Arabidopsis thaliana: one gene and its partners. The protein of the gene in region 4 interacts with the protein of the main gene of each other region in a pairwise test. Each region holds a gene or a part of one and is shown on either strand. Other genes may lie near its edges.

Region 1 (7,610 bases), on a different chromosome or scaffold from region 4:
GAGAGATCGGATACGATCAGACGCTTAAAAGCATCATAAAAAATATGTGTTGAAAATTTTAGAGCGAAGAAGGAAGAAGAGAATTTGTGTTGTACCTAAAAAGAATTGTGTTTGTGTTCTTCTGGTGATGTTAGGGATTGTCGAGAGAAGAAATGAAAGAAAACGCCGTCGTCGTGTTTGAGGGAAGAGACCAAATTAGAAGAATCGTTGATTGGAGAAGAAGCTCCCTCCCATTATGACCGCGTCAGACCCAATTTCCCCTTCTTACTAAATTTACCACTCTACCCTCCTCCTCTCTGTCCATTCCACTTTTTTTTTGTTTTTTTTCTCACTCTTTATTAGCTATCAATTCGTGTAAATAATAAAAAATCTGTTTTGTTTATTATTAACCGTACTTTCAACAGATTCTTTAGATTTGCGGTACTTTTTTTTTTCTGTCGGCAACTCAAATTCTGCAGTACCATTGTTTATTAAAGAATTGACTTTATTATATACGGTTGAAGACTTTGCCATAGTGTTTAGTTGATGCTCAAAAAAAAAATACTAAAGAGGATTAAAGATTATTGATTTAGGTAAAGACTTAAAACGATTCTATAGTTTAAAAAAGAAAAAAATTTACGAGGTTGTTGCAATAGCAGTTTCCAATTAAAATGGAATTGGAAAAATAAGAATATGATCAGAGCACTGAAGACAAGTAAAAAAGAGCAGCTAAAAAAGTCTTTCGATTATGATCGTCACATCATAGCAGCCATTGCTAAAACTAACCAAAAAACAGAAAAGGTAAATGTTTTTTCTTCAGTTTTCTATTTCCATTGCCAAGTAAGACATCCTTTCCTTGTCTAGACCACCTTTGTCTTATCATCCCATCGCGTACTTCTGTGTCCATTTTTGTGCAGTTGACTCGTATTTTGATTTATCTACCTTGTAGAGATGAGCTATCTCCGGCACAAGAGGATCATTTGGGTTCGGGTCAGTCAGCAGCGAGCAAATCGACAACAAAACCTATATAATTCCACACCATCAATATCACTCGCACAAAGTTCACCAATATACTAGTTTTTTTTTTACAGAACATGACTTTGGTAAAAAATAGTAGTAGAGAGACAAAACTCAAACCTTGGATGTGGTAGGAGCAGGACTCCATTGCTCTTTCAATATGTCAAGGCAAATGCTTCCTTTGCTGTCGATGTTTGGGTGGTACACCTTAGTCTTGAAATTCACCTGCAAAATCGTACACTCGCTAATAAGCCTGATGATCATAGATTTTCATTACACATCAGATGATTAAATTAGTGTTGAAAAAACACAACACCTTTGGTGGCTTGAAAGGATAATCCGAAGAGAAATCAATAGAAACCGTAAATACGCCTCCGGAATACGGACTGTCATGCGGTCCCATGATAGTTGCTTGCCAATGGAATATGTCCTCCTCAGCCACAGGACCTATAAGAAAGACGTTGCAATCAGACCCATTTATTCATCGAAAAAGACAATAAAACCTGCATGATCAAGTGATACTTCTTATAGAACAGAGACAAATTGGCAGAATAAATAAGAAGTACAAAAGGAGACACTTGAAATAAAAGCAAGCTAAACCTCTGGATATTCTTAATCGTACCAGGCAAAGGTTTAACGAGTTTTCTCGAATACAAAAAAAAAAAAAAAAAAGGTTCATGCAGAGTACATATATATAACAGAACCAAAGAGAGTCTAACAAATCATAGCGTTACCAAAAAAAACTCAGAAACATATAATGTGGATTGATGAAATAAAAGTGTGACATATATCAAACCCTAAAAGTGTTTTTAGTGTGAATCTATCAGTCAAAATCAGCCAAGAAAAGGGAGATTACCTGCGCTACAGTTTGCTGGAGGATGTCTCTGCATATCCCTCAGTTCCCTTGAAATCCTCTTAGAAGCCATGCTTTTAGACTCGAAAACCTGCGGACGAGATAAGCAACACACAATGAGTATTAAGGAATTCAACTAAGAACATAACATATCATAGAGGAAGACGAATAAAACAATACATACGTAACGTAAGTGATGATAAACCCTAAGAAGTAGTTGAAACAGAAAACATAAAGGAAAGATGGATCAAAAGAAACATACCACAACAGGAGATTGAATCTTTTTTTCAAGGCCACTACAAAAGAGAGAAGAGATTCGTGAAAAGCCTAAAACCCTCTACTTCTTTTTTATAGTCGGAGAATACAAGTCAGTCTCGAGGCTTCTGATTCTGTCGGCAAGTACCGCCTGACCTATTAGTAGGGACCCATGGCGGATGATATTGGAAAATTGCAACCAAAGATATGTTTATTTTCTAAAACACCTATTCTTGGTTTGGTCTAAAGATATTCTTGGTTTGGTCTATAGATATGATATTTCCTAAAACAGCTATTGTAAACAATATGGAAAATTTCTTAAGTGTTTTATTAGAACCATGTACACTTTTGAAATATATTAAAAAAATTAAGAAAATCAATAATTTAATCATAAATATACCAACTTTGGTATAAGTTAATAGAAGATTAGGAACGAGTTTTGTATTTGGGAGCAATGTATAATCCTAACTATGGAAGGCTCATAGTTGGTTTGGTTTTGGTTGTGGTTGATCCATGTGTAGATTGGAACCCCTTATGTCAAGAGTGTACCAAAACAGTCCAAACATTGCGTTTGGGGCGATTAGAATTGCAGTTTCCTGCAACCAAGTGAGGAGAGGGAAACAAGAGAATAAAAGTAGACCCAACAATCGAAATTAATACTAGTTTATAGTGATCAGAACAGAAGAGGAGTAAGAGCAGCTAAGTTGTTCGATACTTGCTAACGTTTGATAAACCAAACAAGTGCATTTTTTTTAAGTTATTATTTTATTCCGATGCGCAATAACATATCCTTTGCTTTGTCTTATATCATCAACCCATTGCGTACTTTTGTGTCCAGCTTCTCGCAGTTGACTCGTACTTGGATCTATCTGTCTTGTACATGTGAGCTATCTCCGGCACAAGAGGATCATCTGGGTTTGGGTCAGTCAACAGCGAGCAAATCGACAACAGAACCTAATTTCCACAGCATCAATATCGCTCGCGTTAACACACAAAATTGGCTAAGATAGTAACATAATTTGTGTTAAAATGGTAGGAGTAGAGATACACAAACTCGAACCTTAGAGATAGTAAGAGCAGGGCTCCATTGCTCTTTCAAAATATCAAGGCAAATACTTCCATTGCTATTGATGTTTGGATGGTACACCTTAGTCTTAAAAGACACCTGCAAGATCGATGGATTCACATCATAAGATCAATGATAAAAACCGATGAATCATAAAGAGTCTCATAACACAACACATTACCTTTGGTGGCTTGAAAGGATAATCCGGAGGGAAATGAATAGAAACCAAAAACACTCCTCCGGCATACGGACTTTCAGGAGGTCCCATGATAGTGGCTTGCCAATGGAACATGTCCTCAGCCACCGGACCTAAAACAACGTGACAACAAAATTACATCAATAAAGACATATTAGCAGGAGCTACAAAAGGAGACACTTTGACATAAACTCAAAACCATGCAGAGTTCTGGATACTTGTCAAATACAGGACAGGAAAGGGTAAATATGAAGTGCATAACAGACAACAAAATCCATGAGATCAGCGTTAATCAAAGAGTCTAGCAAACCAAAGCTTTTACCAAAAAAAAAATCAGAAGCATAACATGGATTGAGGAAATAAAGTATGATACTTGATACCCTAACCTACATCAATCTAGTGAGAGAGTAAGGAACCTAATTCAGAGTCATTAGTGCCAGGTAAGTAATTGGTTAAAATCAGATTAGAAAAGGGAGATTACCAGCGCTGCAGTTTGAAGGAGGATCCTTCTGCAGATCCTTGAGCTCCTTCAAGATCCTCTTAGAAGCCATGCGTCAGAGACGAGAAAACCTGTGGAAACCCCCAACAAGACCAGAATATTATTGAACAGAGGATATAACTTAAGACAATCAACTTAAGAACAAAACAGATCACAGTGGAAGAACCAGAGACCGAACAAAACAACACAAAACGTAAGTGATCGGAAACCCTATTATTAAGCGGTGGAAACTAATCGCGCAAAACAAAAACAGAGGACGATTCGGGAGAGAAAGAAATTAGGGTTTAACCAAAGAGAAATGGTGGAATTAGACCTGGAAGAAGGACGGACAACACAAAGCGAGAGCTTCTTTATCGGGAGAGAAGAGAATCGAGAATAAAAATGGAGTGCAAAGGAGAAAACGAAACTTGTTACTTTGCCTTTCTTTATAGTCAGAGAATCTAAAACAAGTCAGTCTCGAAGCTTCTGATTCTATCAGCAAGTACCGCCTCACCTATTTCACCTTTTCTATATATTTATTAATTCTCGTGCCAAAAGTTTTTTTATTTCACCAATTAGGACTCATGCAGTCAAAAAATACAGAGCAATGATTTTATTTTTATTTATTTACTCATGTAGTTTATCTTTTTGAGACGATAAATTTCACATATAATTGTATCACTATTTCAGTTAGATTTTCAAACACCCAAAGACTCTTGTGATTTAATTTAAACGAATCATACAACAACAAATGAAAATTCAAAACTAGTCGCACACTTATAACCAATCTAAGAACTACAACCATTCATGGTGAGGGTTTCAATTACACTACAATTCCAGATATTGATTGGAATAAATTATGCAGTCAGACATAGAGAACTAAAATAAACGGTTTATGAAGAAGAAGAAGAAGGAAAAGCAAAAATAAATAATGATTTGAGAATGAGAGAAAGAGAATTTAAAACCAATCTAAACCGGGCTATCAGAGCTTCTGATCATCTCCGGCGAGGAGGCTCTGTTACCAGAACCAGGACCGGACCCTGAAGGTCGAATCTCCTCCATCATGTTAACCACTTCCTCCATTGAAGGCCTAGAATCTGGATGCTTAGACACACATGCCATTGCTATCTGCAACATCTGCACCATTTCTTCCTCTACGTTGTGTTGCTGCTTGATCAGCTCTACGTCAAACACTTCTCCAGTCCACTCCTCTCTCACCACTGATTGCACCCACTTTGGCAGATCCACCACTTCTTCATGCCCAGTAGTCTTCCCTGCTGCTTTCCCAGTCAGCATTTCTAGCAACAGTACACCAAAGCTGTATACGTCGGACTTCTGGGTATGTTTCCGTGTTTCTATGGCCTCGGGTGCTCTGTAACCTAAGCTTCTTGATGGGATCAAGGTGTGATGGCTCATCAATGGAGCTATACCGAAATCAGAGACACAGACATGAAGTTCTTGGGTTAAGAGGACATTTGGTGATTTGATGTTTCCATGGAGGAGTTTAGCACCAGATGCAGAATGGATGTGAGAAATTCCCCTCGCAGCTTCCAAACAGATCCTTAACCTTGTTTCCCAGTCCAACGCTGCTCTTCCTCCCTCATTGTTTCCTGCATAGAATTCATCTAAAGTGTTACTTTAAAGCCACTTTTTATAACCTTGAGTAACATGTAAAACATCATATTACCATGAAGCAGCATGGAGAAATTGCCCCCTTGGTAGTAATCATACACGAGTAGCTTCTCGTCTTTTGAAAAGTAATAGGCACGGAGAGGAGCTACATTCACGTGTGGACTGATCCTTCCCACGGCTTCCATCTGCTGCTCGAACTCCCGTTTCCCAGCTGCTACTTCTTTCAGTCTCTTCACCACCACCGTGGTTCCTTCCTCTAAGATGGCCTTATACGTTGTGCCATAGCTTCCTTTCCCTAAAACTTCAGCCGAGGCTCTGAGCAAGTCCTCAAGATCAAAGTTATATGAACTTCCTTCAAAGAAGACCAGCTTGTTCTTCTCCGCCTCTTGCACCCCACTCCCAAACTCCTCAGCCTTGTTGTCACTCCTCCCGGGTTTAGCTTTTGGCACTGCGGTGCTATCTTGCCCGCCATCTCTTTTCTTGGCACAGCAAAGGGTTATGATGGCAAGAATGATAAACAACAGAACCGAACCTCCAACTGCAATGCCCACAATAGCACCAGTGGAGAGAACTTTTTTGGCGGTACCACGACCTATATTGGTTGTACCAGGACCTTCTGTTGGTGTTGTCGGTGAAGGAGATGGTGCAGTGGTGTTTTCTGGGCATGGAGTCAGAGGAGCACCGCATAGAAGGCTATTACCTTGAAATGAGGATGCTGGGAAGGACTTGACAGAAGATGGAACTGACCCGTTAAGGTTATTGAAGCTCAAATTCAAGTATTTAAGGCGAGGAGGGAGGTTAGGAATTGGACCACTAAGAGAATTGTTTTGCAGGCTGAGATCAGTGAGCTGGGTAAGGTTTTGTAGACTCGTGGGAATGTTTCCCGAGAGCGAGTTGGCGGAGAGATCAAGATTAACGAGGCGATGAGAAAGGACGGGAGGGATAGTACCAGAAAAGTTGTTTTCATGAAAGTATAGTGATCGGATAAAAGGAAGTGAAAGAATGACAGATGGAATGTTCCCTTGAAGGTGGTTGGATCTAAGGCTAATGATCCTGAGGGCATCAAGCTTCTCAAATGTTTTCTCTGGTAAAGGTCCATAAAGTCCAGATCCAGGCAAACGGAGTGCGGTTACACGGGCGTTGTTCTTGGAGCAGGTGATACCAGTCCAAGAGGCACAGATTGGAATAGTGGAGTTCCAGTTGAGTTTGCGACTGTGAGGAACAAGAGATGCAAACTCAAGCAGTGCTTGCTTGTCCGATTCTATGTCTGCAGACAAACAACGGGAAACAAAAGTCGTGACCAAGAGGAAGAGAAACGCCGCAATAATCTTCATCATCAGTCCTTTGTTACACTCTCAGGCTCGCTCACATCAAAGCTTTCTCATTCAACAGCAACTGCAAGAGAACACAAAACACATCATGTAATGATTTATAGCCACATAAAAGCTAAACTCAATATGAGAAATGTATCTATGGATAAAGTAGCCAAGAATGACACCTACACATCACAGGTATCATGAGTAAAAAGATCATCAACACAACGAAAAGCTTCCTTAATAATGACAAAGATACAATAGCGTAATTTCTCAAACCAAAGTGGGAATGCTGATGATAAAGTCCAAAGCAACATTACTCGATTCTCAAATCAAAATATGAAATTATGGAAGCTATATGCACACATTGATTCAATCAGCTGAAATCTGTTTGACTTCAAATAATAAATCTTCACAAAAAAAACAAATCCAATTACGAAAGTAACTAATTTTAGACATAAATGTGTGCACAGATACTTGATTAACCCAGATCTGCAATCTACAAACTAGGGTTTCTCCAGCTAAGCTAAACGGAGTAATTGAAATTGAGAAAGAAGAAATCTTTTAAAGGAATAAACAACGAAGCTAATAAACCCCAAAACAAGAGGGAAAACAGAGATCGAAAGTGAGAGAGACCTTAGAGGTTGATTCAGAGGAGAATGGTTCAGGACATTGGTGAGCTGATCGTAGAAGAAGAAGAAGACAAGTGAGAGAGAGTGGAGAATAAATGCCAAAGGAAATGGGATAGTGGAGAAATCACTTTTTAACAACAACGGCATTTCGTGAAGAAGAAGCTAGAGCTAAAGTCAAAAGCAGAAAAG
Region 2 (7,740 bases), on a different chromosome or scaffold from region 4:
AAATTATTCAATGCAACTGCAATGAAACCCCGAGGGAAAGAAAGACCCTGTGTGGTTCTGCTATTTCCATGTGGCTGCTAGTGGTCCATCATACGTCAACTATACTTAGCAAGAAAAATTAAAAATCAAGGTTAAAATGGAAATTGAAGTAGTTTCGATTGTTTTATATTAATGTTTTGAGATAGTGCTTGAGTAGTGGAAACAATAAAACCATTAGGAATAACCGAACAGACCTCGAAAGAAGCCTCGGTAAGCCCAAATCTCGTATTGGTGTTTCAAGAAAATAACGTAAAATCACAAGTTTTTACAAACAAGCAAATCACAAAACTTTTATAAATTCAAAAGCTTACAATAACAAAAAGAAAAAAACAAGCAAATTACAAAGCTTACAAGAACTTTAGAAATTTGTTACAAAATTTGTCAAATATTATAAATTTAGTTACAAAATTTTAATCTACAACTTCAAAATCAAAAGAATCCTATTGTCGTTTAAACATCATCGATGTTCACCACTGTCAATTTCACATCCCGGTGTTCTCTAAAACATAAAGAGGAGACATAGGAAATAAAAGAGAAATTAAGTAGTTCAAAGAATAATCGGTTATTAGTTTCTTATAACTCCTAGGAAAAGCTATTCTAAATTTTTTTTAACAAAACATACTCCTTATAATTTTGTTTATTACTGACTTACACAATGACGAATCAATGAGAAACAAATATTTCGATTGTAAAATGTTTTGCTAAATTGTGGAGATATATATATTTGTTTTCTATGAACATATCATTTAATATATAATTTAGTTTATTTCACTAATAAAAAAAATTACAAACTGTAAAATAGTTAAAAACAACATTATATAAAATGAAATTTTACAAAACGAATTTACAATTAAATAGTAAGATGAACCCTCCAAATATCTAATCCTATAATAGAACATAATACATTAACATTATAATTAAATTTGGTTTTGTTAAAGGAGAATTGAATGTCTTACTGCTTACTAGTTTAGGGAAGGAGAAACCGAATAGGGAAATTAATGCAGCCGACATTTTTGACGTCGAATAGTTAATTGGTTGTATTGTCTCTTTAACCGTGCATTGTTACAATTATTAAAGTATTTTAACATTTTGGAATATGGAACACCTATCTTAACTAAACCAAAAAACATGGAACACTGATTTTTATTTTATTTCTTTCAGTCGACACCAATTGTTTGAATTTTGCGTTTGAATGTCTAGAGTTCTTAGCCTACAAGTTTCATGGATATCTAAATCAAACCTATAGTCCCTATGATTTCTTATTTTGTTAAACTTAAAGCAGATGTTTAATTTGGTCTTTTGCTCTTAACTAGAGTAAGTTTTGCCTGTTGGTTATCATTTCTAAGTTCAAACTGATACTCTTCTAATACACTGATCCGTGGGATAATGATAAATTTTGAAAAAAAGATAGTAACATACTGTATTTTCTTATAGAGAAGAGAAATTCAAAAATATTCTAATAGCACAACACTATTAAATGTATTTTTCTCTTACCTGTGGACTTGTAAAGATAATTTGTTAGGGGTGATACTTTAAGCTCGGACGAGCGATGGATCTTTGGTCCATCGAAGCCCATCTACATAACTTGAGTTCAGTCCATACCCATTCATCTATAGATTATCTGTAGTATTAGATTCTATACCACTCTTTTTTTTTTTTCTGTTGATTCTATACCACTCACATTCCACATAATCAGGCTATTTATTATTTTATTAAATACTGTATTGTCAAATAATTTGACTTCACCAAATAACATGTTTTCGTCAAACTCATGATATGATGGATGATACGAATAAGAAAACTGTTATAACTTATAAACAAAATAGGGTGTTTAGTGGTTTTGTACTAGTGAATCATTGCTGAGTTACTACTTGAGTTCAAACATGCATAATACATGTCGTTTAATGGATATAGGATTGTTTGTGATATTATTGCATACTTAAAATGTTTGTTGCATCACGTATGTAGTCCACAATCCACAGGCGCACCTTGCAAGGTACAAAACTCATTTTCTACAACATACGTGCTACAACAGAACGCATTGTCACCATGACGGGCATTGGCCACAACGATTAACTCAGAGTAAATTTGAAGACCAGTTGGATAAGTTTGAAGACCAGTTGGATAAGTTTGAAGACTAGTTTGATAAATTTGAACAACTCGTAGCAACTCATCACACAACGAAAACATCAAATCATAATTTCACCACAAGAAGAAACAACAGAAGATGATCAGATTCTAGTTTTCACAAAGATGATGTTTTTTTTTGTTTCGTTTAAAACAAGACCCACTTCATTTGGTCCTGTCTTCAGAAAGTTAAAAGGACACAAAGAGATGTCTATCGAATCATACATAGAAATTAAGGCAGATTTTTTTCTTCATAAAGAGATAATTTAGTAGGTGGGATTTTCCATTTAGCCCATGGCATACTTCTGAGTCCAGCTTCGTGCAGTGGACTCGTACTTGTTCTTGTCAGTCTTGTACATGTGAGCTATCTCGGGCACCAAAGGATCATCCGGGTTTGGATCGGTTAACAAAGAACAGATCGATAGCAGCACCTGTTAATTGCAAAGCAGTTGTTAGAACTGATCGATAACAAACAACAATTTTTCATCCTCAATGAGTCTAATAAGCTTAATGTTTCAGAGACAACCGAAATGAGTCAAAGTTTAATGAAGACAGCTCAATCTTATCACTTCAACTAGGGATTAAGGAGCAAAAGCATGTTTGATAAGAGTAGATTACTGCCTCTGAAGCAGTTTTAATAGAGAGTATTTGTTTTAAGGTGGGTTTCTATTGTTAACAAAAGAATAAGAGAAACCGAACCTTGGAAATGGTGAGCGCAGGACTCCACTGCTCCTTCAAGATGTCGAGGCAAATGCTACCGTTGCTGTTAATGTTGGGATGGAACACCTTGGTCCTAAAGGCCACCTAGATATCATCACACACACCATAATGAAGAACAATGAGATAATGAAGCAACCATAAAGAACATACGAGCTTTGGCAAAACATACTTGATAACAATTCTCAAAATATTGGAATCACCTTAGGAGGCTTGAATGGGTAATCCGGAGGGAAATGGATGGTTACAAGGAAAACACCTCCAGCATAAGGACTCTCTGAAGGACCCATTATCGTTGCCTGCCAGTGAAACATGTCTTCAGCAACAGGACCTGTACACAGAAAGATAAACTCAATCTCACACCACATAAGCACAAGGAAACAAAGAGACAGTTTTTTCTTCACAAGTATAACCAGACCCCAGAAACTAAGACAATGAAACGAGTTTTAAGCCTTTATAAGATCTTCACCAGAGAAATCAGAAACGAGATAAACCAAATTTAGTTCTAGCCAGATCTTAAAAAGTAAAACGAGTACTTAGCTCGAGATCGGTACCAAACAACACATAAACACACAAATCCAAACAAATCCAAGCATAAGCGAACAAAAAAACCGGATCTATCAACACCAGCTCAGGGAAACAAAACTTTTTAAGATGAAATCTCAAAATCCAAACACGAAACAAGTACCTGCGCTACATGATGTAGGTGGATCCTTCTGGAGATCCTTCAATTCCTTCAAGATCCGCTTCGACGCCATATCCAAAAACCTAAAAATCAAAAATCAAACAAAGATTCTAAACGAATCAGAGAAGCTATAAATCCGTGAGAAATATAAGTAATAGATCCAAAAGCTACAGAGACAATACCTTTGATTTTTCGCGTAATCGGATTGGCGAGGTTTTCGCCTTTTTCTTCTCGTATTAGAGAGAAGAAGAACCAAGACTTAGGGGAAAGGAAGAAAATAGAGATGGTGGTGGACGAAAGACGAAGAATACGAATTATTCTCTGTGCTCACGTCTACAATAAATACCGTGTGGATTATTTACTTTCTTTGACTAGTGGACTCTACTTTTAACCCTCTTATTATTCGGTGGACCTTGAAACGACGCGGCGCTTCTTAATTAAAACATCAAGTTGCATTGAAACGACATCGTCTTAAAAAGTCATCTAATCTAACGGTTGATATCCTATCCTTAAATCAAGTGGTATTGAAATCTAACGGCTGCGAGTTTATTATAAATTTCAAATCAAGTGGCATCGAAACGCGTTGCGATGAAGTCATATAATCTAACGGCTGAGATTTGTATCTTTTAATCGATCGAATCATTTGAAGCCACGTCTTCTCTCTCACTTTGGAGATTTTTCTAACGCAGAATCTGAGAATAAGCTAACCGATTCCGATTTCGAGTTCGTCGCCGGGAGGAATGAACCGGTTGAAGGAGCAAAAGGGGCCGAAGTTCGACGGCGAAGAATCACCTCCACCTGATTTTGATGAAGATCGAAGTGTGGGTGAGGTAGACGGAGGAGATCACACGCCATTCGCTGGAGGTAAAGTCAGAAGGAAAGCGTCTCGCTATAGAGAGCATCGTGGTGACTATCTTCACGTTTCTTCTCGTCCTGGATTGATGCGAATTCTGGAGAAACAAGGTTAGGTTTCTCCAAACTTTTGGTTTTTATTTGATGAATTTGAGATTGAGAGGCAATTTGTGAATCGAAGAACTTGGAGGAATAGTTGAATCAGCTGTAGAATTGTGGCATCGATTTATAGTTTCTTATGTGGTTGTTTGGATTGCTAATGATTGGATTCACCTTGAATTGCATGTGTTTGATGTTGAGAAGGTGATTCATTGTTGTTATAGGTGATACATCGATTCTTTTTGCTGATAAAGTTTTGAAGTTCACCGGCTCGGGGAAGATGAAACGGCGTATTTTTATCCTCACTGATTTTGCGATCTATCTAATTGATCCCGAGACTGAAGCTATGACCAGGAGAATTGCTTTGTCATCAGTAGAGAAGATGTGTTTAAGCAAATTGAGTGATAACTTCTTCGCTATCATTATTCCCACGGAATATGATCTCTTCATGGCCAGCACTAGGAAGACTGAGCTTGTTCAGGTCATGGTAGATGTCACTAAAAGTGCTTCTGACTATGAACTTGAAGTGCTTCTCTCTAACAGGTAACTATGACCGCAATTTTTGGTTTTTGATGTCTCCTCTTTGAATGCTAATACCATGCACATGAGAATTGTTTATTTTCATCTCATTTCCTGATATTGACACTACAGGTATTGTGTTACTGAGAACTGATGTGGGTCTTTTTAGTCTCTGAAACTTAGTGAGCTCTGTTTCTTAAGTGACTTGGCTATTAGTTAGTGGTGAGACCAGAGGATCCACTTGTACCTATTAATCATATCTATATTTATGGAAGAAGATAAAGAATTAACACTTTTAGGAGATAACTACTGAAATTAGTACGTTGAGATACAAATGGTTACAACTATATTTTAAATACTGTTAGATGACATATTCTAGTTTTGATTGAAACTGTTCTCAAATGGCAATCACGATAATAGTCCGTAGAAACATTTTGTATATCTCCCATATCGTAAAACTCAGCTATTGGTTTATATGTGCAGTTTGTGTTTTATACTGATAATGGTTTCTCCTTGTGTTCATTCCAGATTTGAGTACAATGCATCTGCCTCATTAGTAAAGGAAGTTTCTTTTGAGGAATCTGAAGGTTTGTATGAATAAGATTCTGGATATTGTGATTCAATCTAAGTTTGTGGTTAGTTTATTTGCTCATCAAGCTCTACCACTATTTTTCAGGGGGTATCAAGACCAAATTTGTGTGGAAGTGACTACATCTCAACTTTCCTCGCTGTTCATAAACTTTGGAGGGACCACTAGTAAGATCTGTTTCGACTTTCGAATGTCTTTTCTGTTGGTTACTAATAGCTGAAATCATGGTGGTATGTGTTGTTTATTATATTCTGTTTCGACTTTCGAAAATGTGAATGGATTCTTTCATGTAACACAAGACCAGTAGTGTCAATATAAGAAACAAATGGTTACAAGTATATTTCAAATATTGTTAGAAGACAGATTCTAGTTTTGTTGGAAACGGTTCTCAAATGGCAATCACGATAATCGTCTGTAGAAATATTGAAATCTTTTTCTGAATGGTCAATACATTAAGGAAAGATGGAATAGTCTTTCTTATAGTATATACGGAGATCCTGATAGACTTCCAATCGGAGTTGTTGTCGCACCTGTGGAAACCTCTGATCTGTATCCGCTGGCTAGTTTCTCTGGTCTTATCTCTTCCACCATTCTCACTACCTCAATCATGTTTGGTCTCTTCTCTGGTAATCTCGCTGTGCAAACCATACCAACCTGAAGCATCTCCACCATCTCTTCCTCTACTTGGGTACACCTCAAAAGCTCCTCATCAAACACCTCTCCTGTCCATTCTTCTCTAACCACCGAGTTCACCCACCTCACCAGGTTTGCCACTTCTGATTTTCCTGTTAGTACCTCGAATATCAATATCCCGAAACTATACACATCAGACGGTTGAGTCCCTTTTCTTGTGTCTGTTATCTCTGGTGCACGATAGCCAACTGCATGCCGCGGTAATGAATGCATCAGTGTAGCCATTCCTGTTCCAGATATGCAGCCATATCCTTTCCCGTTGAGGAAAATGTTTGAGGATTTTATGTTCCCGTGGACTAGTTTACCTCCGCTTTGTGAGTGGATATGAGCTACTCCTCTTGCTGTTCCATACACCATATTCAGTCTAGTTTCCCATTCTAGACGCTTCCGATCCCTGAGACCTTTCTGACCTGAGTATCGATACACATATAGACCAACTTAGCTATGTAAGATACTGTATAAATTCAAATGGTGGCATTATCAACATACCGTGTAGCAATGTTGAAAGACTTCCATGTTCGTAGTAATCATAAACCACGAGCTTCTCATCCTTAGAGTAGAAATATCCTCTTAAAGTGGCAACATTCTCATGCTTGATGCTGCCAATATTTTCGATTTGCTGCTCGAATTCCCGTTGAGGTACACTCACTTCCTTGATCCTTTTCACAACGATGGTCGCAGAGTCCTCGAGATCAACCTTGTAGGTTGTCCCAAACGGGCCCTTCCCTAAAACTTCTGCAGAAGCTCTCAACAAGTCTTCTAGGTCAAAGACAAGATTCTTCCCTTCGAAGAACACAATCTTGTTATCTCCTTCACCCACGTTTGGATCTGAATCCTTCCTCCTCTTGCTAGGTTTGTCCTTTGAAGATCTTCTTTGCTCTTCTCTATTATGGATGATGATTACCAATAAGATAGCAAGCAGAGCTAGTATCGCAAAACACACGCTTAATGCTATGCCAAGAACTACATGGTTGTGATGTTTCGTGTGTTTCCTTAATGATGAATGAACAGGCGCCAGCACTTTGTTTCCGACAAATGCTGAGAGTGGAAATCTCTGCAATGACTGAGGTACAGTTCCTGTTAGATTGTTGTGAGCTAAGTTGAGCAGCTTCAAACCTGGAATATGGAGATCAGGAATCTCACCAGAAAACTTGTTATACGCAAGATTCAGAGAGTGTAACAGAGTTAGCTTCCCAATCGAAGATGGTATACTACCATTAAACCGATTATTAGAGAGATCAAGAACTTGTAGACGCTCCCAAGAAGATAAATCAGAAGGCAAAGGACCCGAAAACTCGTTGAAGTCGAGTTTAAGCTCTGTCAAGTTCTTCAAAGCTTGTAAAGTTGTAGGAAAAGTTCCAGAGATGTTGTTGGAACTAAGAATGAGAAACCGAAGATTGCTTAACCTGGCGATGATGCT
Region 3 (7,883 bases), on a different chromosome or scaffold from region 4:
ATCTTTGAAGCACAATCCTACCCGCAAGTCATGATCATCAAGCCACAAACTAGAAAGACACGGTTTGGAAACACCAGAACTGGAATCTTGATTCAAATCCTTGAGGGAGATATTGTTATCCTGTGTCAAATTAACCACTTGCGCCACTGCATCTGAACTTGGATTTTTATCTGTCATGTCACCATCTCTACCGTTTCCAATGTCGACATCTTCTTCATCTTCAATCCACCCGTTACTGTTGCCCTTCTCTAACTTAACAGGTATATCCATCCTCTGTCTTTTCAAGGAACTACCGGGATTTGCCAACAACGGCGAACGAGCAGCAGACACAACAACCCCATCAGATTTCACTTCCAAATACAGTTCTACATTTTTAATAGAAGGATGTTTGCTTGGGACTTCAAGCATTGTCTCCAAACTAGAGTCGTTCACCACAGGCAAAAGTAGAAAATGAAGCATTGATTGCGGTTGAACAGCTGAAGGAAACCTACCGAAAATTCTAACCTTTGATCTCCGATCATTTACATCTAATCCAGTAAGAAGATACAGCTGATCCAACAATATGCTTAACTCAGTCTTTCTCTTAACTTTGATCATTCTAGGAGTTGATCTGTCATATACCCCATTGCTACCATACTCAATGCGACCGTTCCAGTAACACAACACCGGAACCTCCATTTCAGCCATGAGCACACCAAACCTGCAAGGAATCCAAAGTAAAAATGTAAACTTTATTGCTAAATCCTTGTTATGCACAACCCAAGAAGAAACAGCAGCCACCTCCTATCACTAAAACAACAACATGAAAGGCCTAAGTCCCTAAAATGTATGGAATGGTACATCAAATTCTACAAACAAACAAAAAACTAAATACAAAGCAAAATAAAAAATTCAGGGGATAAAACCCTAACATGCAAACCCTAAAAATTATAAAGAACCCCGAAAGATGAAAAATCAATTTTGATCTCTAAAACAACAACAACAAGGCACCGGAGCTGATAAATCCAGCAAAAAATTGTTTTAAAAAACCCTAGAAAACAAAACACAACAGTATAGTCGTCTAAGTTATAGATGTTTACATACCTGAGAAGGTAAAGGAGTATTAGGAAGTTTGGATTTTCAGAAATGGAAGTAATTTGAGTTGCATTAAGGAATTTCCCGGCGATGTCGTCACGACTGAGGAAGACAACTACACTCTCACTCTCGCACAGCTTTGCAGAATAAGAAATAAAGAGTTCGGAAACATCAAAGTGTTGGGTCGAAAATAGAAAGCCCACTAATAAAATTGCCTGACTTTTGACTACGAGAGAGATGATCTAACGGGAGATCCAACGGTTATCAACGAGACAAGTCACTCTGGGGATGAAAATTAAGAGAGTCAACATTGTTCTTTTTTTTTTTTTTTGGTAAAAAGTAAAAACATTGTTCTTTTTATCCCACATTTTTATCATATTATTACGTTTATGAATGTTAGCATGGACAATCCAAACTTTTGTATCTATAAGAGTTCATGATTTAATATGAAATCATTGATTCTTACAAGCAAGGAATATGGGAAAGGTGGAGAAAATTTCCCTAAATTGTAAACTATCTATAATAGGGTTAATATAAAAAAAGAGTCAAAGACTCAACGTATCTTTGGTGTGGTGTCTCGAAGTACTGGGGGGTTGCTTGTTCGCATCGCATTGTTGTTATTTCCACATTTTAGGTTATGAATACCACAAGACTTGAGACGAGAGCTGAGGACATTGGTCTTGATCTTACTGGTTTTAGTTACATCACAAAGACATGGTTGTTGCTCTTTCAAAAATTTACAACATTCGGTCGATATCTTTAATCCACTATTAACAACGTCCAAGCAAGTCTGAATCCTACTTTCTTCACATGATTCTCTGTCCCTCTTGGATCTACTTCCGCCTGCACCGATAGCTTTTGTTGGAAGCGGTAATGATGCCAAGAGAATGACGAATGTAATAAGCAACAATCCGACGGTCTTCATGCATGTATATATAGTTGTTTCTTTTAGATATACCTATAGCAAATATTTTGGATTCCTTTTGTTTTCTGTGCAAAACATGAGAATTTGTTTAGGTATTTCTTGGATAATGAAGGATTCCAATTGCATGGTATTGCGTAATGAACGCGTTTTTCCTTGTTAATCAACATGAACGTAATTAGTTGCTATGTAAATAACTAAATATAGCCTAAATGATTGGCTAAATCACTACATGAATTATTTTCAGTATTTAGAATATTTCATTGGTTAATAATAATACACCATGATTTACAGATTTTACATTCAAATCATCATAAATTAAATGAAAATTCAGATTGAATGAAAAGTTGGATGATCTAGCTAACCAATAAATCTACAGTTTATTGTTTCGTAATAATATGCCTTTTGATTTCGCTTTCCATTTCATAATGAGGTAACTTAATTCAATGGTAGATAAAGTGTACCTTTATTCTTTGATTTGAGGTATTTTTAAATTAATGCACATATGGAATCATTGATCCCTTACAAGCAAGGGAAATGATAAAGGTGGAGAAAATTTTCTGTAGGGTAAATTTATCACTTTGCATTTCATACAAGGGTAAATTTCGAATTAATATGTTAATCAACATCTTCAAAATCATGCAATTTTTATTTTATTTTTCTGCAAAAATGGTTTTATTTCAATATTTTCTCAAACACGGAATTTTGAAAATTTGGTAGCAAATGTCAAATGTTCCCATTTAATCATCGTCATACTTTGTTAGGTAAAAGCTCAAAGTTTCCAGCTTTACATAAATAATTTTTCTTATAATTTTTTGGAAAAAGCATAGAAACAAAGATAGGGAACATATGGATAATAAAGAGGTGAAGTAATGTTTTTGTTTGAGATTAAAGAGGTTTCAAACAAAGAGATGATAAAACATAGGAATCTAACTTATTTCATGGAAGATCCCTATGTGAAGAAGTCCTCTCTCTTTCTCTCTCTCTCTCTATTAAAACCGAGTCTGTGAGGGATCAAAGGACACAAACTTTCATCCCATTGCATATTTCTGAGTCCAGCTTCTCGCAGTAGACTCATACTTTGCTCTATCGGTTTTGTACATGTGAGCAATCTCTGGAACCAATGGATCATCTGGGTTTGGGTCCGTTAACAATGAACATATCGAAAGCAAAACCTATAAATTCACAAGAGATTTGATTAAAATAAGAGGAGATTCATTATATATCATCCACTGCTATTGGTTAAAGAGTGCTTTTTCACCTTCGATATGGTGAGTGCAGGACTCCATTGTTCTTTCAAAATGTCAAGGCAAATGCTTCCATTGCTGTTGACATTAGGGTGGAACACTTTTGTCCTGAATGCAACCTGCAAGAAAAAGAGCATTTTGAATTCCAGTTCATGATTTCAGTTTGGTAACAATGAATAATTTACCTTTGGTGGTTTGAAAGGATAATCCGGAGGGAAGTGAATGGTTACGAGAAAGACACCGCCTGAATAAGGACTATCAGATGGACCCATTATTGTAGCTTGCCAATGAAACATGTCTTCAGCAACTGGGCCTTGAAGATTTCACAATTGTTCATAGAAGGAAAAAATAGAAAGATTAGTCTTTTAAACATGATGATCTATGGCATTTACTGAAATACACACAACAAAACATGTGCCATAGCAATGTCCTGAGACTTCTCTAGCAGAAGAATGCATGAACAGTTTGAGAATCTCCGACAACAATCCTCTAACTCTATTAAGACCAACAATTTCGACGCATTATCCACTTATCATATATTTTAATAAACAAAACAAACATGTATAAACCTGAATGCAATAGATAACTAAGAAAGACTATCAGTGCGAGGTATCAAGTCTGTAAGATCCGTTATGGATACTTGGATAAACAAGGCAGCATACAACACCAAAAGCTTAATTCTAAGAAAATTCACAACTTTCAATAGCTATTTCCTAGACTATGATCATAAGATAACTGCAACGACCAATCTCAACTTTGTTCTAAGAAAAATCTCAACTTCCAACTGTTATCTTATTAATTATGATCAATAGTATCCAGGATGGGTAAATGGATCCCAATTTTTAACAGCTATCTTCTAGACTATGATTATTAGAAAGCTGTAATTTTCAATCAAGGATCAGTACAGCCATAAATTTGTTCTGTTCTAAGAAAAATCTCAACTTTCAATTGGTATCTTCTAAACTAAGATCATAACTTAGCGGCAATTACCACCTCAAGATCTCTAGATAACTTCGTTATAAAATTACGAAGACTAAAAAAGATTTCATTTTTTTGTTTGCTTAAAGATAAGATTATAAGATCTAACAACAAAGCTCAAAAATAGATCAGACACGATTTACGAGAGGAGAGGTAAAGACTAACCAGCACTGCAGGAAGTTGGAGGATCCTTCTGGAGATCCTTGAGCTCTTTCAAGATCCTTTTCGAAGCCATTTCTCAACCAAAAAAAAACTCCTAGATCCAAAAAACCAAACCCTAGATAGATTCAGCAACGCAACAAACAAAGGAAAAGCAAAGGTTGAAAATTTCCGATAAAGGATTGAGCTTTTTTACCTCAAGACAGATCCTCCAAACTCGGTTTTGACGATTCACTTCCTGCAGATGATTTTTGAGAAAGAGACAGAGAGAGCCTTTGAGACCTAACGAATAAACAAAGAGAGAGAAATTTTATTTATGTATGCTTCAAATATAAATAATGACAGCTATTTTCCAGCGAGCCAGAGAATCATTATTGGATAAACATACTTTTAATAAAAAATAAAGGACCCTCTGAGTTAGACAGAGTGTTTCATAGAGGCTTTAAAAAGGTGCTTAAACCCTTTAGGGTTTTTGTCTTCCAGCTAAATCGACTCTGACACAGAGATAAGCAGAGAGAGAGAGAGAGAGTTCTGAGATCAGAATCAATGGCGGCTAAAAGTACGTTGAAGATCAAAGGCAAAGCAAAACCATCAAAGGGATCATCATCATCTTCGTCCTCCTCTGCATCATCAAAGTACAAGGTCTTCAAGGATTGGACCAACTGGTCATTACAGAAAGCCAAAGTCGCGACTCACTATGGTTTCATCCCTCTGATCATCATCATCGGCATGAACTCAGATCCTAAACCTCATCTTTTTCACCTCCTCTCTCCCGTTTAATCCACAAATTGGATCTTCTTCGTAATGTTCTTCTTAGATGCTTTTACTTTTTTTCCCAAATTTGTTCTGTTTTCTTCGTTTTATGAAATGGATTTATATTTGTTTCTGATTCTATAATTCAAAGTCTCATTCTTTTTTGCATGATTCAAATTCAATAAAATCAAATGATCTATGAAGAAACAAAGAATTTGCTTTAATGGTTACTACTACTAGTTTGTGTTGTCTCACTCTGCATCAACTGATCGAATATCTTCAATCAATTTCAAAACTTGAGCTATATGAGGTCTTTCTTGTTGCTTCAGAGCAACACAAGCCAATCCTATTTGCAACATCTCAACCATCTCCTCCTCGAAACCACCTGATTGACTCAATATCTCCATATCAAACACTTCTCCAGTCCACTCTTTAGCCACCACAGATCTTATCCAGCTAGCTAAGTCCATGTTCTCACCTCCTGTTGGTACTAATTCTGCTTGACTCACTGGTGATTTCCCTGTCAAGAGCTCCAGTAATACCACACCGAAGCTGTATACATCCGAAAACTGTGTGCTTCTTCTTGTGTCTGTTATTTCAGGTGCATGGTAGCCAGAAGTAAGGCAAGTGGTTTGAGGAAGTGATCTCATGATTGTCGTCAAGCCAACATCGCCTATGCAGCCATAGCATTGTGAGTCTAAGAAGATGTTTGAGGATTTGATGTTTCCATGTATGAACTTCCCTTCGTGGATTTTAGCTAGCCCTCTCGCTGCACCGGTTGCTATTCGCAGTCTAGCATCCCAATCTAACGGTACTCGATGATACCTTCCTCTGTTTCCTGCAAAGAAAATGGAACCTTGTAGTTTCGATTTATCATCAGAATGAGAGCAATGAAAATAACTAACCGTGCAGTATTTCGAAGAGGCTTCCATGATTGTAATAGCTATAAACCGCGAGCTTATCGTCTTTGGAGTAGTAGTAAGCCTTTAGCTCAGCTACATTTTCATGTCTGATCATACCAATGATCTCCATTTGTTGCTCAAACTCTCGTCTTCCAACGACAACTTCCTTCAATCGTTTTACAACGACCGTGCTCATGTCCTCCATTGTTACCTTATAGGTTGTACCAAAAGCACCCTTCCCCAAAACTTCTGCAGATGAGCTTAGCAAATCATCTAAATCAAATAAGTGGTTTCTTCCACCAAAGAAGATGATCTTCCCGCCTTCTTCAGTGTTATCATCTCTAGATGTCCAGTTTCCTGGAGGAGAAGACGAGTCTCTCTTTCGCAACTTCCCGGAGATTCTAGTCTTCCCGAAACAAGTGATCATTATGAATGATAATCCGGAAACACACAAAACGCAAGCTGCAGACAGAATCAGCAAGAAAGCAAGTTGGCTTAACCCGAAAGGAGTCTTGCGTTGTTTCTTCCTCTCGGTAAGGTTGTTGCCAGAAAAAGCTGAACTTTGGAATCTTTGAAGAGACTTTGGTATTGTACCGATGAGCTTGTTGTTGGACAAGTTGATCTGACTCAGTTTTGGAAGATGAAGATTTGGAATTTCCCCTGAGAATGAATTGTTTGCAAGATTCAAGACTTGAAGGCTAGTCAATCCTGAAAGAGAGGTTGGGATGCTTCCGTTGAATCCATTGTTAGACAGATCAAGAACCTTAAGATTCTTCAACTCCGAGAAGATAGCTAGTAGTGGACCTGAGAGGTGGTTATGTTGTAGGTAGAGATGAGTCAAGCTCTTGAGATTTGTGAAATCAGAAGGGAAGTCTCCGGTGAAATGGTTCTTTCTAAGGCTTAGAAACTTGAGAGAAGAGAGACGACTGATGGTGAAAGGAGGAATCAAACCGTTGAATCCAACCGCAGGCAATCTAACGGATACAATTCGATCTCCGTTTTCGTTGCAGGTAACACCGGTCCAGCTATGACAAACGTCTGAGCTCTGGTTCCAATGGAGACGAGAAGAATTGAAACTAGACAAGAAATGAAGCAAAGCTTTCTTGTCGTCTTCAAGAGTCTGAGAGGAAATCAGAACAAAACAGAGAATCAAAGAGAAGAAGAACAAGAAGATTTGCATTGTGAAGAAACTAGTTTTTGTCTCTAACTGTAAAACAGAGAAATTTTCTTTAGCAGAAGAATTTGTTTCTGATTAAAAAAATAGATAAAAGAGTGATTAGAAAGATACGCCGGCAGGTTTTAGCCGGCAAAAAAGTCTTCTCTTATATAAGCTGAGAAAACTAAAAAAACCTTGGAGCCATTAAAACCATTGAGACCGTTTCTCTGAGTTTTGATCGTTGGGTGTATTTAATTCTTGCTTCAAGAAAATTCATACCAAACGGCTAATTTCTCTTAACTCTATTCCTAAAGCCTGTAACGTAAGCGCGGTAAAATTCAGAGGCTTGGCATACAATTATCAACAAACAAAAAGAGCTGAAATGTTCTCTTTTTTTTTTTTTTTTTTTTTTTTTTTTGATCACCAAGAGCTGAAATGTTCTGTTTTGTGGTATTTTAAGATAATGTCTTCTTCATTTGTGCCTACCAAAAAACAAAAAGTCTTCTTCATTTGTATCATATATGCGTACGTTTGTTAATCAATGTATTATTTAATAGAAACATGATTGTCTTAAGTAATTTTAGAAATTCATTTTATTTTGTATCATTGTTTGTCTCTCAGATTCATGTAATTGGTTAGGACTTTTTTTTTCTTTGATTGTTGGCTAACAAATGGATAGAGCTTTAGAGTTC
Region 4 (7,899 bases):
ACGGTCTTGCTATTAAAGACTTCTACGTTGCGGTGAGTCTCTCTTTTTTTCTTATATTATATGTGAATCTTTTTCTTTAGTATATGAAAATGGACAGCTCAAACATAGTATCATATATTATTATGTGTGGTTTATGTTAAAGGCAAAAGAGTTTCCACCACCTTTTGTCTCTTTGCCCAAATTCCATCTATTTAAAGACGACGAATGAATGATTTGAGCCGTACGCTACTTTTGCTTTATGCTTACAATCATATATTATATGATCACGTAAAAGAAACCGAGAGTACAATTATATAAAGTTTTTTAGGTTGTCGGCGATTAATAGGATTACTGTTCCCTATCAAAAAATGATTAGTGGGATTGTTACTGATGATGTGATTACTTTTTTATGATTTGAAGCTTCCAAATATATTGGGTGCGTTTCTCGGAGCAGTCCAAATGATTCTATACGTCATATTCAAGTACTACAAAACTCCACTAGTGGTTGATGAGACAGAGAAGCCCAAAACGGTGTCGGATCATTCCATCAACATGGTCAAGCTTTCATCTACTCCGGCTTCTGGTGATCTTACGGTTCAGCCGCAGACTAATCCTGACGTGAGTCATCCTATTAAAACTCATGGTGGTGACTTAGAGGACCAGATGGACAAGAAAATGCCAAACTAAGTCAAGATTTAGTTTTCAATTATGAATTAGTGATTGACTTTAATGTTGAACTGTTGAGTCTGGTTTCCTAATTTGTCTTTTATTTTCTCATCATCTTCTTTCGAAATATCTCGAAATTGTACTATCCTTCAAAAATTTATGTGCGTCGTTTAGAATTTTGTAAAATAGTTTTTGATGCCTCTGTTCTCAGTAATACTTAAAAGTTTATTAGTCCGGCTAATTAAAAAGGAAATGAAAATTCAAAGTAAGTTAGATAAACATGATCATTCACAGGTCAGATGTTTTAAAAAAAAATCATTATGGTGTACATCACATGTAGACAATACTTCAGAATTCATCTGGACTACCAGAATTGAGTTACCTAGTACTTCTCAATTCTATTTTACCCTAACGTCTAATAAATAACAAGTACTCTAGCCTCTTCGTTTTATGATTCCTCTAGGAAAAGTTAATGTTACGGCCCAATCACTTTTTTTAACAGCCCAAACAACATATATTAGCTCCAAATATCATTTTTTCCCCTAGAATATTCTCAACCTATTGTCCACTCAAAACGTGACAAATGGAGGTCTAAAGGGAGACCATACTTGACTCATTTTAGAGCTAGGATCAGACAGAGTAGATTTTTTGCCATAACTCCTTGTAAATGTATTCACATTTCATTCCCAAGAAAAATAGACTGATGAAGAAATATATCAGATATGACAAGGCCGTGTCGTTTAGGTTACGTAACTCTACAAGGTTTAGGGTCTCAATATAAACACACAAAGCAGATAGAAGAAGCAAACCATTCACAATCAGACAATGACATCTCTCCATACGTTACTCTTCTCTTCTCTTCTTTTCTTCATCGTCTTTCCAACCTTCACGTTTTCCTCCACCTTATTGTTTCAGGTTCGTCTTTAGTTTTGCTTCTTTACATACACAGACTCTACACACTCACTTATTGGGTTTCTTTCAATTGTGAAACAGAGTTTCAATTGGGAGTCATGGAAGAAAGAAGGAGGATTCTACAATTCTCTCCACAACTCCATTGACGACATAGCCAACGCTGGAATCACTCATCTTTGGCTTCCTCCTCCTTCTCAATCCGTTGCTCCTGAAGGTTCCATTTCTGCTTTACTCTTTACACATTCACATACCAATCTTGTTACTCACGCAATCTTCATTCCTCAGGTTACTTACCGGGAAAGCTATACGATCTAAACAGCTCCAAATACGGTTCAGAGGCGGAACTGAAATCGTTAATCAAAGCGTTGAATCAAAAAGGAATAAAAGCTTTGGCTGATATAGTGATTAACCACAGAACAGCTGAGAGGAAAGACGATAAATGTGGATACTGTTATTTCGAAGGTGGGACTTCCGATGATCGTCTTGATTGGGATCCTTCCTTTGTCTGCCGCAATGACCCTAAATTTCCCGGTACCGGAAACCTCGACACCGGAGGAGATTTTGATGGAGCGCCCGACATCGACCACCTTAACCCTAGAGTTCAGAAAGAGTTGTCCGAATGGATGAATTGGCTTAAAACTGAAATCGGATTCCATGGTTGGAGATTTGATTATGTTCGAGGTTATGCATCTTCCATCACCAAATTATACGTTCAGGTAAATCACATATGAATTCTCAAATATCAGACAACAGTATTAGTATATAAGAAACATAGGTTGAGATAATTATTTACTATTAGTATATATAAGTATCATAGGTTGATAGGGTTATTTACTACTATTTAGTATATAAGAAACATAAGTCAATGCAATCAATAAGAAATATATAAGAAAGTTCACTACTGATTATGTGATAAATTCCTCTGTTTTTGGATACACAGAATACATCACCGGATTTTGCGGTGGGTGAGAAATGGGACGATATGAAGTACGGAGGAGACGGGAAACTAGACTATGATCAGAACGAGCATCGGTCGGGTCTCAAACAGTGGATCGAGGAAGCGGGTGGTGGTGTGTTGACAGCTTTTGATTTCACCACCAAAGGGATCTTACAGTCTGCTGTCAAAGGTGAGCTTTGGAGACTAAAGGACTCGCAGGGAAAACCGCCTGGTATGATAGGAATCATGCCCGGAAACGCTGTCACATTCATAGATAACCATGATACATTCAGAACGTGGGTTTTCCCTTCTGATAAAGTCTTGCTTGGATACGTTTATATACTTACTCATCCAGGAACTCCTTGCATTGTAAGTATCATTTTAGTATGTAGCTATACTATTTACAACTACAATCTTGTTGATATGTTATTTTTGTTGCAGTTTTATAATCATTACATAGAATGGGGACTAAAAGAGAGCATCTCAAAGCTGGTGGCTATCAGGAACAAAAATGGGATTGGTAGCACAAGCTCTGTAACGATAAAAGCGGCAGAGGCGGATCTCTACTTGGCTATGATTGATGATAAAGTTATCATGAAGATTGGACCAAAGCAAGATGTGGGAACACTTGTTCCTTCTAATTTTGCTTTAGCTTATTCAGGCCTTGACTTTGCTGTCTGGGAGAAGAAGTAACGCATAACTCGAATCATAAGAAAAGTAATCGAATGTATCTTCTTCCTTTTTAATAAAACATTTTGGCAGTATCTAAAGATATGTATAATGAAATATAAAATGATAAAGAATACCTAAATAAAAAGAGCACTAGTGGTGTTAAAGGATACAACTCCAGTGAAAGAAAAGAGTTCAAGTGAAGAAGTGTCAACTTGTAGAAATAAGTATTGGAAAGTTTCCATCGTTTTGTTTTGTTGCATACAACTAATATATTATATATTGGCCGACTCGTATAAGATTTGGAGCCCTACTAAAATCAGAATTATGATGTCTTAACCACACAATACTGCCAAAATCAGAACGAATTATATTATTGTAGAAGAAGAAAAAAAAAGTATGGTGGGAAGTGGGAACAGTTAGACAGGTAAATTCGAATAAAACGACAGCGTTTTTGGCTAGGACAATAAAAGTTGAAGACGTCGGCTTGAGAAGAAGTAGAAGTGACGACGAAAAGAAAGGGGAAAAAAAAAAGGAAGGAAAAAAGTGAAAACCGTCGGCTTGAGAAGGAACTTTGATATTTGGTGACTCTTGAAAAAAGCAAGCTCTTTCTTCTTCCTTCTTTCGCTTTTTTCACACCTCAAAATCAAAGATCCGAAACACGATTTCGGAGGAAGCTTCGATTCTGTGTGTTTGATTCTTCCTCTTTTTTGTTTTTTGTTTTTTTGTTCTATCCCGTTTCGAAGCGAGCTCTGATTCTCGTTCCTGTCTACTTTTTTTCAGACCTATTTTCAGATCTGAAATAGTTGTGTTTGAGAAGCGGGATTGGTGATCGGAGCTGGAATTTGGTTGGTAATCGGAGGTCAGAGAGAAGTCAACGGATATGCCGGAGGAAGAATCGATAGATATCAAATTCAGGTTGTACGATGGCTCCGATATCGGGCCTTTTCGGTATTCTGCGGCTTCTACTGTTGACTTTTTGAAGCAGAGGGTCGTCTCTGATTGGCCCAAAGGTTAGTTTTAAGGTTTTTTGAATCGGTGCCCCTTTTTCCCCAATCTGATCCTGGTTTTATTCATGATCTTCCCACGAATTTCGTGTTGATTGTCACTGAATCCTGCAATTGTCGGTAGAAATTCGAAATTTAGAGCTGTAGATGAATTATTATTAGCTCATTTGAGATGTTATAAGCTTGATGTATGAGAAAAGCCAAGTCTCTGTGATTTGAGGTTGATCCAAGCATCAATTTTTTTGTGGTTTTGGTTAGGCAAAACAGTTGTTCCAAAGGGGATAAACGAAGTGAAGCTGATAAGCTCGGGTAAGATCTTGGAGAACAACAAGACTGTTGGGCAGTGTAAGACACCATTTGGAGATATTGCTGGTGGAGTCATTGTGATGCATGTTGTTGTACAGCCTTCTCTAGCTAAATCCAAAACAGGTAGTTGTTTGTCTATGTGTAATGTTCTTCATGTCTTTTATATCAGAGAATTCCCGTTTCATGGAGATATATGTGTCCTTAGAGGTTCCTCAATCTTTCATTAGTCTTGTGGTATTTATCTTGTCAACTGTATGGATTATGGTATTCATTTATCTGGCTCAACTTTACGTCTTATAATATCTAGCTCTAGTCATACTTATATTAATTGAGGCTGGTAAGATTTCGTAAGAGTGTTCATGCACATCAGAAAGTTAGTCGGTGACTAAGATCAGTACATTCTTTTTCTTTCTAACAGCCTATGGTACTGACTCAATCAACCTATCAGGTGATTAGTGGTTTTGTCTAAATTTGGTTTGTTTGTCTTGAGAGAGAGTAAAGGATACCCTAGAATTCATTCCTAGGTTTCTGGTGTGTTCTTTGTGTGAAATAAAGCAAAAATCAGCTCTAAGCTTAGCAAAGCATGCCATGAGGAAAGGAATACCTGAATTCATTATTGGTCGTCATCTCCTTGTAAACCCCACTGAAAACTTTTGCCAGTCTTTGAGATTTGTCTGCATAATTTGTTTTTTCACAAACTTGAGAAAGTCGTGGAAAGTGAGTTTGTGATTACTAAGACGTTTGTTGATGAAAGCTAACTAACAGTTGAATACTGGTTTTTGATTAAACAGAGAAGAAGGTTGATAAAGCACCAAAGGCAGTAATCTGCACATGCACCATTTTGTGAAGGGAGGAAGACCAATGTATCTATCATACACATCGTTTCAATTCTTCCGGTACAGAAGAAAACAAAATCAAAAAAAGAAAGCTAAAAGTAAAGTAAAGCTTCCCTTTAAGCTGTGGAGTTATTTATCATCTTTGAATGTGTAGAAAATGAACTATAAATTCTTTTCAAGTAACTCTTTGTCCCTTATTTGTTTTTTCTTCTTACTTTCCCAATGTATGGAAGCTGTATAGGTTACTAGGTCCATTACGTTACGTGTGATGAAGATAATTATATATCTATCTATTTTTAAAAAAGATTGTGCCTTTGTATTTTTCGTTCTTCCTTTCACACCGTTTTAGTATAGGTGAATTTGCGAAATGGCCAAATTCTGGCTGGCCCGTAAATGTAATTAATGAATTCATGAACTCTGAACATCACTTCGAACAGAAAATTCATCTCTTTTTGTTTTAGGTTGGGAAAAGGTAAGAGGATGGAGTTGCGGTTCCGATCAGACAGACAGGAAGAGTAGTGATGGATGAAGGCGACGTAGTCTCGAACAGAGGCATGATGTAATAACACATGATATATGACACAAGTCATAACCTAGCTACTTATAAATACCAACATAAACTAAAAAAAGTCATAACAATGGTATGTACTTATCTACATTAAAAAAAAAAAGAATTGCAGAAAGATGGCAATATGAAACTAAATTGAATCAAACACATGTACTACAAACAATAGTTAAAAATATCAAAACACAAGTAAAACAACCTAGTTTTAACATTTAAAACGAGGAGAAAAAAAACCAAAAAAGGGAGCCAAGCTTTATGCGTGGCGCTAAAAAGATTGGGCTGTTGATGGATAAATTATGATAGGGCCCAATGGAAAAAGAGAGCTGTCGGTAAACCCTAGACACGAAAGCCGGTGACGAATCGTCCGGTCAATCTGAGTAGTATAAGCGTATACGACATGTATAAGTAGCTAACTACGGTATTTATACTGTATGAGTTGGTAGTTAAAGAGTCATAATGACGTTAATGTCATATTACCAAAACAAGGAGCTTGGAGATAAACAAGCGTAAAAACCACACACTATAATAGCATTAAAGTAAAAACGAGCTGGAAGCATTTTCTTTAGAATATTTTCTTCCTGCACCTCCTCCTCCATTGACGAACACCACTGAGACCACACTTTTAAATTTTATTTTATTTTTAAAGAAGAAGAAGAAAAAGACGAAGAAGAAGTGCAACCAGGAATTGCAACCAACCTCATCCGATGGATAGATAAATATATTCGTAATCAGATCTGGACAATTCAATCAACCGAGGACAGACGCTACGACAGTCGACAAAGGCTGGTTTGCTTCACGAGACTAAGCTGCTTTCAGTACTCAGTTCCTCAGGTAAAAGCTTTGTGTTCTATTTTTATTTTCCTAGGCAATGGTTTTTAAGTAATTTCTACTAAAAACTTAAGAAAAACGGATCTAAAACGTTTTTTTTTTTTTTTTTGAATATAATTTAACCAAAAAAAAAAGACGTAGAAGAAGAAGAAGCCATGATCATAACATCCTACCAGTAGTTGCGGCTGTTTCAATTCAGATTGGTTTATCCATAATGTCGGTCATTGCAAAGTATGCTCTAGATTACGGGCTTTCTCCGAGAATCTTTGTTGCTGCGCGTCTGGTTATTGCATTTTCAATTCTATCACCCCTTGCTTTAGTATTTGAGAGGTACCAACCATAACTTATTGTATGTTTTCTCTGTTTTTTTTGTTGTTTTGTTTTGTTTCTGGTGCTAATAATAATCTCAAATCTATAGGAATACAAGACCTGACTAAAAGAATCTTTGCTCAGATAGTTATCATGAGCATTTTCGAGTAAGTTACTTATAGTTTGTATGAATCATCACATTCATCAATATATTAGAGGTTTAATCAAATGTTTTCTTACAGGCCACTATTGGAGCAAAACTTGTACTATACAGGCATGCAGCTCACAACGCCCACTTTCACTTCCGGAATGTTCAACCTACTCCCGGCCATTACATTTGTGATGGCCTGTATATTCAGGTAGCCTTCTATTTTCTTTCAAACATTTAGTTCTGTATGAGTAATAATCAAATCAGTATGTGTGTTTTGACTTTAGTTCCAACATGTAATGTCTCGTACCCTTTTGCAAGGTTGGAGAAAGTGGCTATTCACAGTCATCGAGGAAAAGCAAAAGTTCTTGGAACGTGTGTGGCGGTTGCTGGAGCAATGCTGATGACATTTTGGAGAGGCCAGGTGATTCCATTGCCATGGAACAGCTTGCTGCACGCAAAGAAGATCCACAGACATGATGAGGACATCCTAAGAGGAGGGCTTATGCTAGTGTGCAGCTGCTTGAGTTGGAGCTTCTATGTTATTCTTCAGGTAAAAAGCCCAAAGGTCACAATGTTTCTTTACAGAAATTTACTAAGTTGGCTGGCCTTTTAATCTATATGATGTTTCTTGCAGGCCAAGGTAGTAGTGTCGTACCCGGCAAAACTGTCCCTGACGGCTCTCATCTGCATCATCGGGGCGTTGGATCAACGGTCACCGCACTAATATGGGAGAG

What was found.
Region 1: the proteins of ATGP4 (region 4) and UBC11 interact in a two-hybrid assay, tested with the Arabidopsis thaliana proteins (one study listed by BioGRID).
Region 2: the proteins of ATGP4 (region 4) and UBC10 interact in a two-hybrid assay, tested with the Arabidopsis thaliana proteins (one study listed by BioGRID).
Region 3: the proteins of ATGP4 (region 4) and UBC28 interact in a two-hybrid assay, tested with the Arabidopsis thaliana proteins (one study listed by BioGRID).

Annotation. Positions count from the first base shown.
Region 1 is NC_003074.8:2,637,794-2,645,403, reverse strand, and holds UBC11 (ubiquitin-conjugating enzyme 11), read right to left. Parts: upstream 4,393-7,610; 5' UTR 4,179-4,392; exon of another isoform or gene 4,039-4,178; intron 3,937-4,038; 5' UTR 3,918-3,936; coding exon 3,848-3,917; intron 3,480-3,847; coding exon 3,352-3,479; intron 3,270-3,351; coding exon 3,165-3,269; intron 3,059-3,164; coding exon 2,915-3,058; 3' UTR 2,485-2,914; downstream 1-2,484. Other genes in the region: UBC12 (ubiquitin-conjugating enzyme 12), read right to left, coding at 859-1,002, 1,117-1,221, 1,313-1,443, 1,853-1,922; AT3G08680 (Leucine-rich repeat protein kinase family protein), read right to left, coding at 4,814-5,454, 5,532-6,813. UniProt on the Arabidopsis thaliana protein: Accepts the ubiquitin from the E1 complex and catalyzes its covalent attachment to other proteins. Mediates the selective degradation of short-lived and abnormal proteins.
Region 2 is NC_003076.8:21,630,349-21,638,088, forward strand, and holds UBC10 (ubiquitin-conjugating enzyme 10), read right to left. Parts: upstream 3,900-7,740; 5' UTR 3,751-3,899; intron 3,679-3,750; exon of another isoform or gene 3,652-3,678; 5' UTR 3,642-3,651; coding exon 3,572-3,641; intron 3,215-3,571; coding exon 3,087-3,214; intron 2,971-3,086; coding exon 2,866-2,970; coding exon of another isoform or gene 2,839-2,865; exon of another isoform or gene 2,598-2,838; coding exon 2,454-2,597; 3' UTR 2,219-2,453; exon of another isoform or gene 2,100-2,218; intron 1,699-2,099; 3' UTR 1,673-1,698; downstream 1-1,672. Other genes in the region: AT5G53310 (myosin heavy chain-like protein), read left to right, coding at 4,309-4,531, 4,744-5,062, 5,567-5,625, 5,715-5,746; AT5G53320 (Leucine-rich repeat protein kinase family protein), read right to left, coding at 6,105-6,730, 6,810-7,740. UniProt on the Arabidopsis thaliana protein: Accepts the ubiquitin from the E1 complex and catalyzes its covalent attachment to other proteins. Mediates the selective degradation of short-lived and abnormal proteins.
Region 3 is NC_003070.9:23,830,365-23,838,247, reverse strand, and holds UBC28 (ubiquitin-conjugating enzyme 28), read right to left. Parts: upstream 4,698-7,883; 5' UTR 4,577-4,697; intron 4,499-4,576; 5' UTR 4,457-4,498; coding exon 4,387-4,456; intron 3,772-4,386; coding exon 3,646-3,771; intron 3,557-3,645; coding exon 3,429-3,556; intron 3,363-3,428; coding exon 3,258-3,362; intron 3,172-3,257; coding exon 3,028-3,171; 3' UTR 2,712-3,027; downstream 1-2,711. Other genes in the region: AT1G64235 (Bifunctional inhibitor/lipid-transfer protein/seed storage 2S albumin superfamily protein), read right to left, coding at 1,628-1,999; TOM7-2 (translocase of outer membrane 7 kDa subunit 2), read left to right, coding at 4,927-5,160; AT1G64210 (Leucine-rich repeat protein kinase family protein), read right to left, coding at 5,385-5,971, 6,039-7,215. UniProt on the Arabidopsis thaliana protein: Accepts the ubiquitin from the E1 complex and catalyzes its covalent attachment to other proteins.
Region 4 is NC_003075.7:12,847,397-12,855,295, reverse strand, and holds ATGP4 (Ubiquitin family protein), read left to right. Parts: upstream 1-3,485; 5' UTR 3,486-3,850; exon of another isoform or gene 3,851-3,946; 5' UTR 3,947-4,046; coding exon 4,047-4,176; intron 4,177-4,428; coding exon 4,429-4,599; intron 4,600-5,267; coding exon 5,268-5,323; 3' UTR 5,324-5,645; downstream 5,646-7,899. Other genes in the region: SWEET14 (Nodulin MtN3 family protein), read left to right, coding at 1-32, 400-666; AMY1 (alpha-amylase-like protein), read left to right, coding at 1,471-1,560, 1,639-1,771, 1,843-2,273, 2,498-2,863, 2,936-3,187; UMAMIT16-psi (nodulin MtN21 /EamA-like transporter family protein), read left to right, coding at 6,920-7,035, 7,257-7,373, 7,484-7,715, 7,898-7,899. UniProt on the Arabidopsis thaliana protein: May serve as docking site to facilitate the association of other proteins to the plasma membrane.